Linked DNA regions of Yarrowia lipolytica. The protein of the gene in region 1 binds, or shares a complex with, the protein of each later gene. Links are inferred from orthologs where the notes say so. Each region holds a gene or a part of one and is shown in the gene's direction. Other genes may lie near its edges.

Region 1 (7,207 bases):
TAACGAGTCTAGACGACGAATTATTTGTACGAGTATACTACAGTGCTGATAATACATGAGGTTTCTCTGCAACCGCCTACTTGTAGTAATGACGATAAACACATGAATTTGATACACAAGGTGGTACTTGTGCATTGCAGTCTCATTCATTTGTGCATTTAATAAATAAATATCATCGTCTAGTCACATCTTCTCTTAGGCGGACTCGTAATGTCCACCGGCTACCATTGTAGCAATGAGACAGCCCCCGCTGTTAACAATTCATTTCCTCCCACTGGTCCCTTTGATAACTTCCTGGCGAGCTCTAACAGCAGACCAGAAACTGCCGTAGCTCCATGTCAGCTTCTCAGCTCCTTGCATGAACCCATCGTATCTATTGAATTGCTCCGACATATCTCCATTGTTAGCCTGATGCTCTCTGATGACATCCAAGAACGAGTCACCGAGGTCAACGAGACGGTCCAACAGATGCTGATACTCTTCGGAGTCTCTAGCAATGCGGTCAGAAGACACAAACGTACCATAAAACTCCTTGGTGAGACTATTGATCTCAAGAACAAAATCAGACGACTGCTGGGCCAAGTGGTGAGCAATGAAGAATATGGTCTCTGCAATGGTAGCGGTACAGATGAACCAAGGATTGCCATGAGAGGTTCCCACTCCATCGTAGACGTCCTCAGCATAACGACCAACACCAACGGCGACGTACCCAGGATTTTCATCCTGGAAAGACTCCTCGAACTCAGCTAATCGTTGATGATTAATAGGGTAGTCGAAGGAGTGCACATAAGGCATGATAGTAGCAATGAGAAGATCGTCGTAGGGCTTGAGAGATGTACCTGCAGCTATGCTAGACTCCCATCTAACCGAGTCAAGAGCGGCCAAGAATATGGAGGAATCAAGGCCCGACCTTCCAAAACTTCTGGGCTCAAATTGTGCATTCAGCCGAGAACCAGCCTCGAAATGTGTCTTGATGAATTGTCGAATCGATCCAGCAGTGAATGTACATCTGCTTTCGGTCTCTCGATCTGAGTAATGTCTTGCAAGTTCCACGACGTTAATGAGAGCGTTGAACTGCACTTGAGAAGTGAAGAGATGGTAGCCCTCCAGTTCCTCCCAGAGATCAAAAGTCGGCTGATCCCAATACTGTAGAATGTACTCGACATCGGGTAGGATCATAGACTTGTAGATATACACATAGTCGTCGAGAGAAGCTGTTTCATTCCACTCCACCTGGGTTTGAATATAATGCGAGATCGTTTTAATTCTGAGTGCAGGTCCATCATTCTGAGGTCTACCCCAGTGCCCTGTGAATGCTGAGCCGTCAGTCTCAAATTTAGGCTCTCCCAAACCACTAACAACACGTCTGTTCCAGTCAAAGTACCCGGAGGGATTGCTGACGTGCTGCAACATGCCTTGAGTCTCAATGTATCCCATGATGATGTTGCTGAGTGTGTCGTTCAGTATACCTTGACTAGCCTGGTCATAGAACCGCCGCACAACTGAGTCCATGGTGATGGCAGCATCCCGAGTCCATTGGTAATAGTAGTCAGGGGCCGTTTTAGAGGGACTAGCGATAACAACGCCTACGGGAAGACCGTTGTTGCTACCTTGGTGTCCCACATTGTCGAGGACAGACTCAAAGGCGTGATGAGTCTGCTGAGCGAGCCACAACTCGAATTTCTGGGCGTCAATGAGTGTCACGTTTGGTCTCGCGTATGGTGCCAGCAACAGAGGCTTCTGATCGAATAGCGGAAGCGCTAGAGACCCTGGAAGTGCTAAAACAGAAACAAACGCTTGTAGCAACATCGTCGGTATGTGTGTATGTGTGTGTGTGTGTGTGTGTGTGTGTGTGTGTGTAAGGATGAGAATAGCGCAATCAAGCCATTTATAGCAAAAGAGAGAAGGTGTAGGTACCTGCACAAGAAGAAAATCGTGCTTGTCGGAGAAAAGCAAAACTGTCACTTCTGCACCATGCGTTCGCGCTCTTGTTTTGTTGTGGTAGTATTTTTTAGCACTCACGGTTCTGCATTGAGATTTACCTCTTGCTGTGTGACCATCCTTCCGCATGACCTTGGTACGTGATAAAGTGTACCCGCTTGAGAGATGTACAAAGATGTACGGAGATATGATACGTGTGCCGGCCGCGCGTAACGTGACTATTAAGATAAGTATAATATTTTCGACTCTACAAGCACCAAAAACAGGTCACTCGTTCTAGTATTTTTTTACCACATTTCCCCAGCTTTTGCTTTCATTCTTTCATACCACTAACGTGAAGACCAAGGTTACATGTGTAGGGATATTATTGGCACTACTGTAAGAAGGACAAAGAAACCACAAGGGGGCCGATGCCCACGATGACCCTGTGGACGGAGTCCTCTTCTGGGATATGAGCTGTGTCATATGAGCTGTGTCAGGTGCTTCACGGTCCGTTGTCCTGTTATACGGAGATATGTGGGTGGGCCATGTACGGTAGAGAGGGGGTAATAGCATGTAGTAAGACACACACACAGAGAATGTCACATGACCTACGATACGAGTACGAGAACACATACATACAAGTGCAAGGTACTACTGTATTCGTACATACAAAGTCTGGTAGAGTATGTACCGGTTTGTACGAATGTGAGAGTGTACTATAAGGGGCTGAGAATAGTGGCAATGAAAGTGGGGCTGGAAACAATGAGCAGGACCATTCAGAAAAATCGGGATTACATAATACAATACAAGTACAGTACAGTACTTGTACTTGTACTGTACTGTTGCAGTAATTCATGAAGGTAGCGAGATTATTAAGCACGTACTTCATCATTTGGACGAGCCACGAGAGATATTTTATACGACAAAGACGAATTCGAGGTAGAATACTGGAACGGCGGGAATCAGTCAAGACCCGTACATGTACTGAAGTCGAACGACTTGAAAACTTGTATACACAGTAATTGTTCATAGTGGGATGTCGAGGTCCACATAAATTTCTTAATAGTGAACTCTAATTTTGTGAGGCAAAATTTATAGATAGTGTAGCCAGATCATCACAATATCAGAGGAATTGAAAATGATACAGTTGTCCAATGCTATTGTCAAATAGTTACCATTTACAATCTGCTTTCCTTGAATAAGTCCTACATCCGCAGTCTTCGCGATTCCTCTATCAGCACAATAACCTAACCCTGCAGCTCATCTGCAAAGCCTGAAAAAATCTGGTGCTCGAAAATATCTTTATTCAAACCCACGATACATACACACCAGCATGGCCAGCGACAAAAAGAGAAAGGCTTCGAGCAAGCGGCTGACGAAAATCAAGGTCGCTAAGGTTCAGGACGATGGAAAGGTGTTTCTTTCTGACTGCGGTCATTTGTCCATCCCTAAGGACGCCAAGTTCTCGTCCGTGTCTGACAATGGAGAGACCTCCATCAAGGGAAAAAGCTCCCGAATGCGATACACCAGTGTGCCTGTGGACCACGAGAAGTACTGCGTTGCCGTAATTTCCTCTAAGGGCTTGGCTGATCTGGTCCCCGCCGAAAGCATTGAGCTGAAGGCCATGTCCAAGCAACTAGCCAAGAGAGTCGCTGAGAACACCGAGCAGAAGTCCTACAGAGAACAGCGAGTCAACCTGGGTAACGAGTTTGGAACTCTCAAGGCAAAGAAGACCCTTGCCAGTTTGGCCCGAAACAACATTGATTCCAACGAGCTTGTTGACTTTGAGGACGATGTCGTGGAGGCTGTCGCTACTGCCACTGCCAACCTACCCACTCAAGAGCAGGTGTCCATGGCAATGGATGATGCCCGACCCATCCCTAAGCATAACCTCGAGACTCTGGATGTCAACGAGATCTATCCTGTTGAGGGATACCTCACCGACGAGGAGGCTGGGTACATTCGAAGCGAGGCCATTCTGGACGAGCAGGATATCGGCAAGCGAGTGGACATGCTTCCTTACCGAACCTCACAAATGGTGCGAGACAGTCTCTACAAGATCACCGACAAGACCGACGAGACCATGTACAAGACCTCTCTTCTCTATTATCTGTCTCTGCTGATTGGATTCTACCGAGATCGTCACGTCAAGAAGCGGGAGGATATCAAAACCAGACTCAACAACCCCCCAGAGTACCTCATCGACCAGATGCTCTACCGGTACACCACTCCCCTTTCTGGTGGTCACAAATCACAACGGTACCACACTTACATGGTCAACTCCAGAAATGAGGCAATGTTGCTGTGTACTATCATTATTCTTGTGCTGAGACTCAACAACAACGTTGTAGACATTCCCATTCTGTCGCAGGAGGTTGGAATCAAGCCTTCCAAGCTTGCTGACGTTTGCAGACAGGTGGGATGCGCCATTAAGAACGCCTCTCTGACTCACATGGATGATATCGGACGACCTCGAACCGAGGCTAGCCACTGGAAGATTGCCTCGCTCAAGGCTCCGCTTAAGCTACCAGAGCTTGCCCAGCGACGACGAAGAGCCAAGAAATAGACTAATGCATAGATTGATAATGGGTGGAGATTTGGATGAATCCGAGATGAAATATTCTTACAGCGAAGTAGAGAGCACTGCATCAACATTGCTCAAATTCTCACTCTGGTTGGCCATTAGGCAATGGCTCGCTTTGATCCAGTGAAAATCACAGCGGACCCCTCCAGCGACTCGACACAGCGATGTCGACAAGTCTGCTACTGACCAACAGTTACTGACGAAAAAAGTTGAATATACTCGGTATTTCCGAAAGTTTTGAGATGTACCACAATCACCACGGCACATGTAAACAAACACACAAGTAACAATTACTTGTACTGTGCGATGTCTCAACGATCCTGGTGAAAGTACACGCACATAAGAGTAGTAGATTGCTTCTAGAGCTACACGACACAATACATACTCACCTCATTAATCATTAATCTTATACATATGTGGAGCTTAGATAACCTCTTCGGCATCGCTCTCAATGTCATCTCCAAGCAGCTCGTCGTCCTCGTTGATATCAACAGGTGCGTAGTCTCTTGACCACGGTCGGTTGCTACTTCCAGAGTGGCCGAAAATGCCTCGAGCGAACTCGCCGACGCCCTTGAGAGCCTCGGGGATCATGGTGATACCTGCAACAACGTAAGCCAGGCCCTTAAGAGCCTGCTGGACGACAGGGTTGCTGGAGCTGGAGGAAAACGAGTCCTCATCGCCCAGTCGAATGACACCAAACTTGGACTGGTAGTGCTGGAAGATCATGAATCCAATGACACAAGCCATGGCAATAGGAACAATAATGACGAAGAATGTGCCGATGACACCAAGTCCACCACCATGCTTCTTGCTGAACTCGCCCTTCTTACCAGGGCAAGGAATTGCATCAGCCTTGTCGAGCTCCTGGCCACCCTTACAAGTGGACAGGGGGATTCGTCGGTAGCCGGTAGACTCGTAGTACTCAACGAGGTTGGGGTTCTCCTTGCATTGGAGGGCGTGATCAGGGGGACTGGCACCCTTGACAAGCTTACAAGTTCCGTCTCGGTCTCGGACGTAGTTGAAATCACACTCAAAGTCCTCTCGAGTGCACTCACAGTCCTGGACAACCTTGTGTGGTTGGATGAGCTGTCTGCCAATGTAGCACTTGGAGTCGACCAGCTTTCGGTAGTACTGAGTCTCGTGGCCAAACAGACAGTTGCTCTGCTGAGTGGGGTTTCTGGGAGACCACAGCTCGTAGTCATCTCGGTCAGGATTGGACTCGTCCAGCTTGCACTGTCGGTCAGAGAGGCCAGAGAAGTCAATGTGAACGGTGGTAGACTGCTCTCCCTTAGACCGGGGAGACTTACCAGTAAGCAGGAATCGTCGAGAGTTATCGTTGGGCACGGTGGAAATATCATCAACCTTGACAAGATCCTCAGAGAATCTGTAGGGGTTCCAGGTGACACCCTCATCGAGAGAGAAGAATACCTCGTTGGTGGGCTCCTCTCCGTCAACAATAACCAGAATAGAACCCTGGTCTCCGTACTCCCACATGTACGCTCCCTTTTTAATTTCCCTCCAAGTGATACCACCATCGACAGTAAGGTAAGTGTTTCCGTCGAGGTATCCCTCGAGGTACTCTCCGACGTTACCGACACCGATCATCATACCAACAGCAGAGGCAGACGTGTAAGTATCTCGGTAATCCTTTCGCTCGGTGAAGCCGTGCAAGTTAAGAGAGCACTTCTCCAGAGACTGTCCAGAACACGAGTAAGCCTTGCCTTCAGTGTCAGCGGGGGGAGGGTTCAGGTATGCCCATTGTCCACCATCGTTGTGGGTGATCATGGACTTGAGCTGCTTTCGCGAACCCCTGGAGGCCTGTCGGGCATTGATGACAATGTTGGAGACAGCCACACCCTCGAGGTTAGCCATCTTCTCAAAGTCGACAAAGCCGACTCGGTTTCGGTTAACCTCATTGAGAGAAAGCATAAACGAAGTACCGTAGGAGTTCGACTTGAGAATGGCGCCGTACTCGGAGTTGGCCTTTCCGTTGACGGTAACATGCAGGAAAATGGCGTGGGTGGTAGATTGCAGAACGGTGTAGGCCAGCTGTTTGGGGACCTTAAAGTCCGGAGGGAATCGAGCCACGGAAAAGGACTCACCGTCCACGGATGTCTGGCACTCGAGAGTCTCGTCCTCGTCATTGATGACGGCAACAACGAGGAACTCCTCAGCAAGAGCGAAATCAAGCACGTTCTCGTGGGTCACTCTTTGGTTTCGGAAGTTGTCAGTAGAATAAGCCAGTCGGGACTTCTTGACGCCACCCTCGTTGTACTCAAACAGACAGTACATGAGGTTGTTTCGCTTCTGATCCTTGAGTCCGTTAACGTACTGGCACATGATGGCTCCGTTGCCGACCTCGGTCCATCGGCCTCCGTTGTTGTTGGTGTAGTGAGTGACCACCTTACATCGAGGGGACAGCTCGTCTTCACAGCCTTCGGATCCGGTCCAGATGAAAGCGTCCTTGTTGTTTCGGTCAAAAGTCATCAATTGCAGGCCTCGCTGGTTCGGGGGAGCAGGTGTTCGGAACGACTTGAATGACTCGCCCTTATCAATGGTGAAAAAGACCTTCTCGTCGGGGGTCAAAAAGTAAACTCGGTTCTTGAAGTGGGGGTTGGGGTAGATGGCAATGATGTCCTCGCCCTTGAGCACCTGCTTGAAGGTCTTGCCCTGGTTGTAAGTGACATAGAGATCGTTTTT
Region 2 (9,655 bases), about 620 kb from region 1:
TCCAAGACAGCACTGCACAAGTACAGTACCTATTGCATCTGCTTGTTTCTTCAATCTCCTCATTCGTCACATTCCTCTAATGATTCTTAATCCCTTCGGTTGTTCTACTTGGTCCCTCTCTTCATCCGACATTCATACCAATGATGGGACTAGACGAGAGAACCCACAAGACTTGGATTGAAGTCATGGAATCAACAATATCATCGACGAGCCTTTTCGTACATCACATTGAGACAAGCATTAAACACACGTGACGATTCTTGTCGTTGGAATATGTTCACGTGACTCTCTCAACCCCAGTCGTCATGGGTTACTCCAAAATCCACTTCCTCTCATCCCACCATCCGTCTCGAATAATATCACAATGCATCACCCTCACCCTCCCCATCTTCTTCATCTTGCGCTCCACCTGCCGCTGACTGAGCCCCGTAGTGTCAAACTCCTTCACAATGGTCGTTCCCTTTTTGAACACGTCCGGTTCGTTGTTGTAGTTGAGTCCAAACTCGGTGAACAACAGCTCATGCTTGTCCTTGCTGACGGTCTTGCTAAGCCGCTGCTCAGCCTCCTGCGTAGTCATATTTCCCTGCTGAACCAACGTCCAGAATGTCGTATTGTACAAGTTGTTGATATGGCAATCCACCTGTCTCCACGAAAAGTAGTCTCGGATAGATTGCGCGTTTGGATAGACGACACATCGAGCGTCAAAAGTAGGAAGCATGTGAATCACAAGTTCGTTTGAGCGAGAGTCACGTGAGTCGTCACGTGGTTCAGACTTGACTGCTTTTCTCTCCTCCTCCTTCCTTTCCTCCTCCTTCCGCTCCTCCTCCTTCCTCTCCTCCTCCTTCAGCTCCTCAGTCGTCTCACGTGTCTCATCACGTGACTCATTTCCGTTGAAATACCTCCCCCACAATGCGACATAATAACTCGTAAACGTGCTAGCAAAGGTACTAACCAGTTTACTCTCTCTTCTCTCAAACAGAGAACACTTTCTCCTCAGCAGAAAAGAATACTCGTCGGAGTCGCCATAAGCCATAATAACATCATCAAATTGAGACACAATCAGCTCGGCGCATTTGTTCATCAACTCAATGGCTCTGAGATCGTTGGGCTTCTCAAAATTGTAGAACTTTGAAAACTTGTGAAACCCTCGACCATCAACTCGAACCACGATATGACAGTCGGGAAGAAGATGGTTTTCCTGCTCAAAGTTTTTCACGTATTCGTATCTGTGTTAGCGCGTCGAAGGGGTTTGGATCACGTGATATCTGAGGAGAGAATCAAGTGATGTTCCATGCGTGGGTGGTAACATCCATAATGGTGCCTGAATAGACGAGCGATTACGCTATGAAAAGCAACAGTGGTATCGAGAGAATGACAGGATGATACAGGAAATGTTTCCATCGTCACTGCATCACGTGATAACATCGTAATCACATTCTTTGGGGAAGCTGGGTTTGAGATAGAGAATCGTTCTGTTCAATCGCGTTATTCCAAACGTAGGGGGACCGGGTGAGTGATAATATGTCATAGAGTAAGATCAGCAAAAAGATCATGTGATTTCCCCTCCTGGCCCTGCTCTTGACGTGGCGTTGTCACTCCACGCAGCAGTTCCCAGACCTATCCTGATCGGTCGCGACTGCTCCATCTCACACCCTCCTTCCCTCGAGCATCATGGTACTTCCATTTAACCGGCGGCAGGTCTGTTTGTATGATTTTTCCATCTCTGGATGTCGTCCTTGGCTCCAACTCACCTGCTTTTCGCCATTTTCGCGTGGTTCTGCGATGATCAAAATTTCCAAGATTTATTTTCATCTGCATATCCCATGCAGATTTGAGTTGCGTCTCCACCATCGCGAGGGAAGGACGCTCTGAGTATGCGAAGCAGCTTTTTTACCGTTCATGATATCAAAATGGTTGCGCGGATGTCACGTAGGCGATCCGAGGAGACTTGACATTGAACTCAAGGACTCTAACTACGTTTCGTGAGGTTTGTGCCTGGTAACAAGGCCATTGAGAGGTATCTACCAGATGTCAGATGAGTCAATGGATCTGACCAGATGATTCATGGATCTGTCGAGACTTCAGGTCAAAACTCCAAGGGTTCGGCTGGAGAAGTTTCCCTTGACTCAGGGTGAAAAGATGACCTTTGCGACGGTTACGGAACAGTCTTAACGGAGCTTTTCCAACTGTCCTTGAGGATCCGACATGCACCGTATGGATACCAACGGCCATCTTCCTTTGGAGTCAGTTTCTGGAGACCTACAGTCCTCCAAACGTCAGAAGGGATTACACTGTTCTATCACTTGGAATATGGCCTAGATGATACACATTTGAGGTTTTGGACACTCTGACAATCAGATAGGTTGCGTTCTGCCGGGTTCTTCTGGGAGGCCCTCCAATGACCAGACTCTTCTCTCGACTAGGGAGACTCATCAGGAGAATCTTCGCACTGAGCACGTCATCAGGTTGACCAACTTCAGATGAGTGAGTGATTTATCCCTCAGCTAGTGGTTGGAAGGTCGACCCGCGATCAAAAATCATTCATAACAACTGCCACAAAGCATATCAACTGTCACAAAACATGTCAACACCGAAGGAGACATTTCATTGCAATATCCGCCTTGATTCGCCCCAACGGAGACGTTTGACTTCCAGTTGGGTGACTTTGCAACTGATTCTGGCCAGAGCAGACGTTAGGAGTAACATAATGATGAGAGCAAAGATATCAGGATGCTCCTCCAGACATTCCGATCCTGGTTCTACTTTCAAAAATCAAATCTGTTCACTATTCACCCACACACCGTCCTTTTTCAAGCGCACATTTCACCATTTTGAGTTTCATAGACGTTGGAGTTGGGGGAGTCTCAAATGGGTAATTGGAGACATTATTTGATGATTCAAAAGATGTCATCCTACTCATATCCATCTTCTTTTGCAGATTATGTCTTCATTGTCGGTCTAAAAGCGCCCCCAAGTCTCATTGACAACTTCTTTCGCCACCAGTGGAGAAACTCGGCTAAGATTTGAGTTTTTCACTTTTTTTGTAGCTTTGGAGATGTGCGACGAATGGGCCAACTAAAGCCGGTATCGCGATTCTGAAAAGTGCATTCTTTTGGCAATGCAATTATGACTCCAGAACTAACGTTGTATTTCCCGATTTCCCTCCTCTTCGGGTCTTTCCAGCCCCAACCGAGACTCCAACCCCGTGCATCTGGGACGCACGGTGGATAAACTTTTCAAAAGATTTTATTTCACTGCACATGTCCAATTTTTTCCTCCCACCACTACTACCACAACAAGATGAGTGAAACGAAAAAGGCGTCGTTCCACACGCTGGAGCGCGAGGAGTATTTTGCTAACCCGCCAGATGAGCAAAAGTACCCGCTACTCAGAGACGCCGTGGCGCCCCACATCGGGTCGTTCAACGCGCTGACGGAGGGAGGCATGGACTCTCTGCTCAACCTGGCGGCCAAGGAGGTTGGCGAGCGGGTGGTGTTTGACGGAGACGACGAGAATCTGGGCAATCGGCTGGCGATCCGGGTTGCCAACGTGCAACTGGGCCGACCCACGGTGTCTGCCAATGACAAGACCACCATCAACCGAAAGGTGTTTCCCAGCGAGTGCCGTGAGCGAATGGCCACCTACCGAGCCCGTATGGTGCTGACTCTGGGCTACTCGGTCAACGGTGGCCCCGAGAAGTTTGAAAGCAGAGATGTTGGTATGATCCCCATCATGATGGGCTCCAACCGGTGTCATTTGGAAGGCATGGGTCCCAAGGATATGGTGGCCCACAAGGAGGAGAGCGAGGAGCAGGGAGGATACTTTGTCATCAACGGTCTGGAGAAGCTCATCCGTCTGCTGATTGTCCAGCGACGAAACCACCCCCTGGCCATCATTCGAAAGAGTTTCACCAAGCGTGGAAGCAACTACACCACGTTCGGAGTCCAGATCCGATCGGTGCGACCCGACCAGTCGTCCCAAACCAACGTGCTGCATTACCTGTCCGACGGAGGAATCACAATGCGATTTTCGTGGCGAAAGAACGAGTATCTGGTGCCCGTCATGATGATTCTCAAGGCTCTGGTGGAAACCAACGACCGAGAAATCTTTGACGGCATTGTCGCCTCCGAGGGCTCCAACTCGTTCCTGACCGACCGTCTGGAACTGCTGCTGCGAAACTACAAGTCCTACAAGCTGACCTCCAAGCAGGAGAACCTGGCGTTCCTGGGAGAAAAGTTCCGAATCGTCATGGACGCCCCTAAGGACATGTCCAACGAAGATGTCGGCCGACTCATGCTCAAGCGGGTCATTCTGGTCCACCTGCAGGACAACACTGACAAGTTCCGAATGCTTCTGTTCATGATCCGAAAACTGTACGCCCTGGTCGCGTCTGAGTGCTCCCCCGACAACCCCGATGCCGTCCAGCATCAGGAGGTTTTGCTCGGCGGCTTCCTCTACGGCATGATCATCAAGGAGCGAATGGAGGAGTACCTGAGCAACTTTTGCGCCACGGTGCGAACCGAGTTGCAGAAGAAGAAGCAATCCTTGCATTTGGATGACCCCAAAATCATGCAGCGAATCTGCCCGCGAATTAACGAGGACATTGGCCGAAAACTGCATTACTTCCTGTCCACCGGAAACCTGGTGTCTCACACGGGTCTGGATCTGCAGCAGACCACCGGTTACACCGTCATCGTCGAGAAGATTAACTTCCACCGATTCATTGCCCATTTCCGAATGATCCATAGAGGTTCTTTCTTCGCCGAGCTCAAAACCACTGACGTGCGAAAGCTGCTGCCCGAGTCCTGGGGCTTCCTGTGTCCCGTTCATACCCCTGATGGTTCGCCCTGTGGTCTTCTGAACCATTTGGCACACAAGTGTCTGATTTCCGTCAAGAAGAGCGACGTGGGAGACATTGACTCTGTGCTCAACCAGCTCGGAATCTCTCCCGCAGGAGCCCTGGCCAACACCCCCCAAAAGTCTGTCGTCATGCTCGACGGAAAGATTATCGGATGGTGTACTCACGAGATTGCCCAGCAGGCCGCCAACACCATTCGACAGTGGAAGGTGACCGGAGACGCCCGACTGCCCCAGGATCTCGAGGTCGGTCTGGTGCCTCCCTCTCGAGGAGGTCAGTATCCCGGTCTGTATCTGTTTGCCGAGGCCTCTCGGTTCATGCGACCCGTCAAGCATCTGGCAACTGAGAAGGAGGACATTGTCGGTCCCTTTGAGCAGGTTTACCTCAACGTGGCCGTCACCCCTGACGAGATCACCAACGTGCATTCCCATGTCGAGTACTCGCCCACCAACATTCTGTCGATTCTGGCCAACATGACTCCCTTCTCAGACTTCAACCAGTCGCCCCGAAACATGTACCAGTGCCAGATGGGTAAGCAGGCCATGGGCACTCCCGGTGTCCTGACTCACCGAAGTGATAACAAGATGTACCGACTCCAGACCGGGCAATCGCCCATTGTGCGAGCCGGCCTGTTTGATGAGTACGGTTTGGACAACTTCCCCAACGGAATGAACGCGGTTGTCGCCGTTATTTCCTACACGGGATACGATATGGACGATGCCATGATTATCAACAAGTCTGCACACGAGCGAGGATTTGGCCACGGAACCATTTACAAGACCGAAAAGGTGGATCTCACCGAGAAGCAAAAACCCGGCGACCCTACTCTTCTGCACTTTGGTTTTGGCCCCGACAACTGGCCCAGAGAGTGGACTCAGACTCTGGACGTTGATGGTCTTCCTCTGGTGGGCGCCAAGCTGTCTAACGGTGATCCCATTGCCGCCTACTACGACTCCAACTCCAACAAGACCATGTGCCTCAAGTACAAGTCTGGTGAGACTGGATTTGTGGAGGAGGTGAAGCTGCTGGGTGATGACTCCCTCGGTGAGCTTCAGAAGATCACCGTCAAGCTGCGAATCCCCCGATCGCCCGTCATTGGAGACAAGTTCTCGTCTCGACACGGACAGAAGGGTGTGTGTTCGCAAAAGTGGCCCACCTACGACATGCCCTTCAGCGAGTCCGGCATCCAGCCTGACGTTATCATCAACCCCCACGCTTTCCCCTCGCGAATGACCATTGGTATGTTTGTCGAGTCTCTGGCGGCAAAGTCCGGAGCTCTGCACGGAATGGCTCAGGATGCTACTCCCTGGCAGTTTTCCGAGACCAACACCGCCGCTGAGTACTTTGGAGAGCAGCTGCTCAAGGCCGGCTACAACTACCACGGAAACGAGCCCATGTACTCTGGAGTCACCGGTCAGGAGTTGAGATGTGATATCTACGTCGGCGTGGTTTTCTACCAGCGACTGCGTCACATGGTCAACGATAAGTTCCAGGTGCGATCCACCGGACCGGTCAACCCGTTGACCATGCAGCCCGTTAAGGGTCGAAAGCGATCTGGAGGTATTCGAGTCGGAGAAATGGAGCGAGACGCGCTCATTGGCCACGGAACTTCATACTTGCTACAGGACCGTCTGCTCAACTGTTCCGATTACACCCAGACCAGCATGTGTCGAACATGTGGCTCTCTCACTGCTACCCAGGAGGCCCAAAGCACCACCGGTCATCGACGAGGCGTCAAGTGTCGACGATGTGCCACCCAGCTCGAAAAGGACTCCTTCTCTTGGGACTCGCCTCCTGAGGGCATGTGGCAGGACGCCATTGGCAACTGCTTTGTGGGAGGAGATGATACCACCACGGTGGCCATTCCGTTTGTGCTCAAGTACCTCAACTCGGAGCTGTCGGCCATGGGTATTAAGATGAAGTACAACATTGATCCTTAGTCGGGGTTAGAAAATGGTTTGTTATGGAGGATGAGATGCTTATAATTAATTGATAGATATTAACGTAGAGTACAAGTACAGTACGGGGTAAATTGCCGGTACGGTCTCAAACAGGTGCCATCGCACATGGGTCTTGCAGTCGGTATATCGATTCGAATCTAGACCGCCTCTCTTGATCATCTAAGAGACTGCGGTTTGCTGTTCGAGGTAAGAGTGGTAACTGGAAGGTGATGAAACACTTACTAGTTAAACTATCTCTTAATTCCCAAGTATTTCTTCATTAAACTCAGAATTACTAGTTAAACTATCATTTAACTATCAAGTAATTCTCCATTAAACTCCCAAGTATTGCTCACCACATAAACTCCCAAGTTTCTCACTAAACTGGCAAGTTTTTCTACACATACACTCGGATTGGGCCGTCAGAACAGAATTTGTTATTTCACTGCTTGAACTCCACATTTGGCCCATCTTCCAGATCCCACATTGTCTTCTGATTCGAACTTCCCTACTTGAAGGATGTTCCAATGGCGGCAGATGTCGGGTCTCTCGTAATTGGAACCCTTTAGATACAAGTAAAAGTACCTCTCTTTTCCGGAATGGCAATCTCCAGAGTGACTTTCCTTTCCTGTTGGTTCCGTGCTCTTTGCCGGGCTGAAGTTGAACATGGACCTTCCGTCATGTTCCTACAATTCAAGTCTCATATGTTGAGAAAGTCGGAAGTCGAACTTGTACGGGTTAAGCGAAAAACAGTCTCCCAAGTGTCATTAATACAGAATTGATTCAAGTACAGTGGTATACAAGTACTTCGGTTTTCTTTCAGTATTTTTTTCAGTATTTTTTTCAGTATTTTTTTTCAGTATTTTTTTTTCTTCGATCTTTTCCTTTTTTTAACTGATAAACAATCACACTCTATAAGCTGTGCAACATCGTACCACTGACACCATAGTAAAATACTTCTATCGAAATTTTGATAATCGAAAACACAAATCAAACACTTGTCCAACCGCGCAACCATCCCCAAAACACTCCTCCACTTTTTTCTCCCATTTTTTCCCATTTTTTCCCATTTTTCCCCATTTTCCCCATTTTTTTGACATTTCTTATATTTAATTTAATTTTTTATATTTAAATTCATTTTATATTCATCGCGAAACAAGGTTTCAAACTAAGCATTATCACCACTGCGGGATTCTAAACTAGAGCGTAGTTAAGACACCTCTCCCCCAAAACACCTCTACCCCAAAACCCCCCGGCTCAACTTATTTATACGGCAAAGCTGCCCAGGCGTCGTGGTGAGTACACAAGAGGACGTCACGTGACACGCGACACGGACACGGGCCGAGCTAACTCAGACATCTTTACTGGCGAGCAACAACCGCCCACCACAAAAAACACGACTTTTCACACGCCACTTTTTGGCTAGACGGATACCAGCAAGGAGGAGGTGAGTACAGAGTGACAGAGAAGGGGTGATATGGATGGAACTTGTCGTGAGCGGGGCTGGTCTGGCTCTGGCTCTGTTCTTGGTTTCCTGCTAACTCAGACTAAGGCTACTTGTACGACAGATACACAACAGACCAGGCATTTTTGAACGGCCAACAACGTCTATAAACCAGTGACAGACGGCGTTCGTTACACAAAATGTGAGTAATCTATGGAGGTTGTGGCAGATTGTTTTCTCTTTTGGGGGTCTACGACGAGATCGTCATGGTATGAGTGGACGCCATGTGTGTCTGGGATATTGGGTGTTTGGAGCTCAGTGTTCCATTGGCGGGGTTACGATTAAGCGGTCTAGCGGCCTTCTACTTGCTCAGGTACAGGTGTTGGGGTTACTGAAGTTCAAACATGACCCTTGATCTGGAACATACCAAATGTTCATTTGGCAACTACTACGAAACCCCCTCCTCGGTTTCACATGATACTAACTCAGGGACTCGTCTTCGCGCTTCCAACCGGAAGCCATTTCTGGCGGTGTGGACTTCTCGCCCGTCTTTCTCATGGACGTGATCATGATCCTGCTGGTGTCGCTGTTTGTCATTTTCTACTTCAACCGGCTCATTGCATGGGTCACAAACTTCGGACTCCGCTTCGTCTTCTGGCACAAACATAGGATACGAGTCAAGGTGCAATCAGTGCAGATCTCGCTCCTCGGAGGAAGAATCTTCTTTAAAAACCTCACATATATCGGCACCAACCAGACGATATGTTTTTTGAAGGGCCATTTCACATGGCGTTACTGGCTGTGGAAGAGCCGCAAGAGTGAGCTCCAGATGAGCGAGGACTCGGAAAGCAATGTGACCCCGGAAAAGTTGCAATCCAGACTGGCTCTCGAGGTGGATGGCCTTGAGTGGTTTGTGTACAACCGTACACCTGCTTATGATGCTGTTTTCGAGCAGTTTCAGGCCCGCCACAAGGCCAACGCCGAATCAAAGTGCGAAAACAACGACACCCTCCAAACGGCGCATACTACCACATCTTACGAGCCGAAAAACTTTTCCTTTGGCGAGCAAATATACCTAGATTTGTTCCCCATTGACCTCAAGGTACACAAGGGCAGCATGGTGGTTGGCAACAGGGACACTCAGAGTGTGTGGATGTTTCATTTCAAGAATGCCACCGGATTGGTGGATGTGGCGCCCACTCCTTCCTATCTGGACAGATACAGACAGGTCTACCGTGCGGACTTTGAGCATCCTGTGGTTGAGATGAGGCCCAATATCGACTACAAGGGCATGGACTCGACGCAGTTTGAGCACAAGCCCAAGGTGAAGAAGAGTCTGTGGGCCAAGACGTACGAGAATGAGCCTAACACTAGCAAGTTGCGGCGCAGTCTGCGGGCCATTCGGGCTGTTCT

Evidence for each region. The genes of interacting proteins can lie anywhere in the genome.
Region 2: YALI1_E06068g (region 1) and YALI1_E12244g share a complex: the UniProt entries of both Schizosaccharomyces pombe proteins name them as parts of the RNA polymerase I (Pol I) complex. The link is inferred for Yarrowia lipolytica from reciprocal best matches to the Schizosaccharomyces pombe genes rpa49 and rpa2.

The regions. Positions count from the first base shown.
Region 1 is NC_090774.1:603,586-610,792, forward strand, and holds YALI1_E06068g (uncharacterized protein), read left to right. Parts: upstream 1-3,256; coding exon 3,257-4,489; downstream 4,490-7,207. Other genes in the region: YALI1_E06056g (uncharacterized protein), read right to left, coding at 262-2,070; YALI1_E06065g (uncharacterized protein), read right to left, coding at 2,444-2,953; YALI1_E06109g (uncharacterized protein), read right to left, coding at 4,931-7,207. UniProt on the Schizosaccharomyces pombe protein: DNA-dependent RNA polymerase catalyzes the transcription of DNA into RNA using the four ribonucleoside triphosphates as substrates. Component of RNA polymerase I which synthesizes ribosomal RNA precursors.
Region 2 is NC_090774.1:1,221,085-1,230,739, forward strand, and holds YALI1_E12244g (uncharacterized protein), read left to right. Parts: upstream 1-3,300; coding exon 3,301-6,798; downstream 6,799-9,655. Other genes in the region: YALI1_E12211g (uncharacterized protein), read right to left, coding at 1-76, 131-187; YALI1_E12223g (uncharacterized protein), read right to left, coding at 311-1,226, 1,752-1,765; YALI1_E12295g (uncharacterized protein), read left to right, coding at 8,456-8,511, 8,732-9,655. UniProt on the Schizosaccharomyces pombe protein: DNA-dependent RNA polymerase catalyzes the transcription of DNA into RNA using the four ribonucleoside triphosphates as substrates. Second largest core component of RNA polymerase I which synthesizes ribosomal RNA precursors.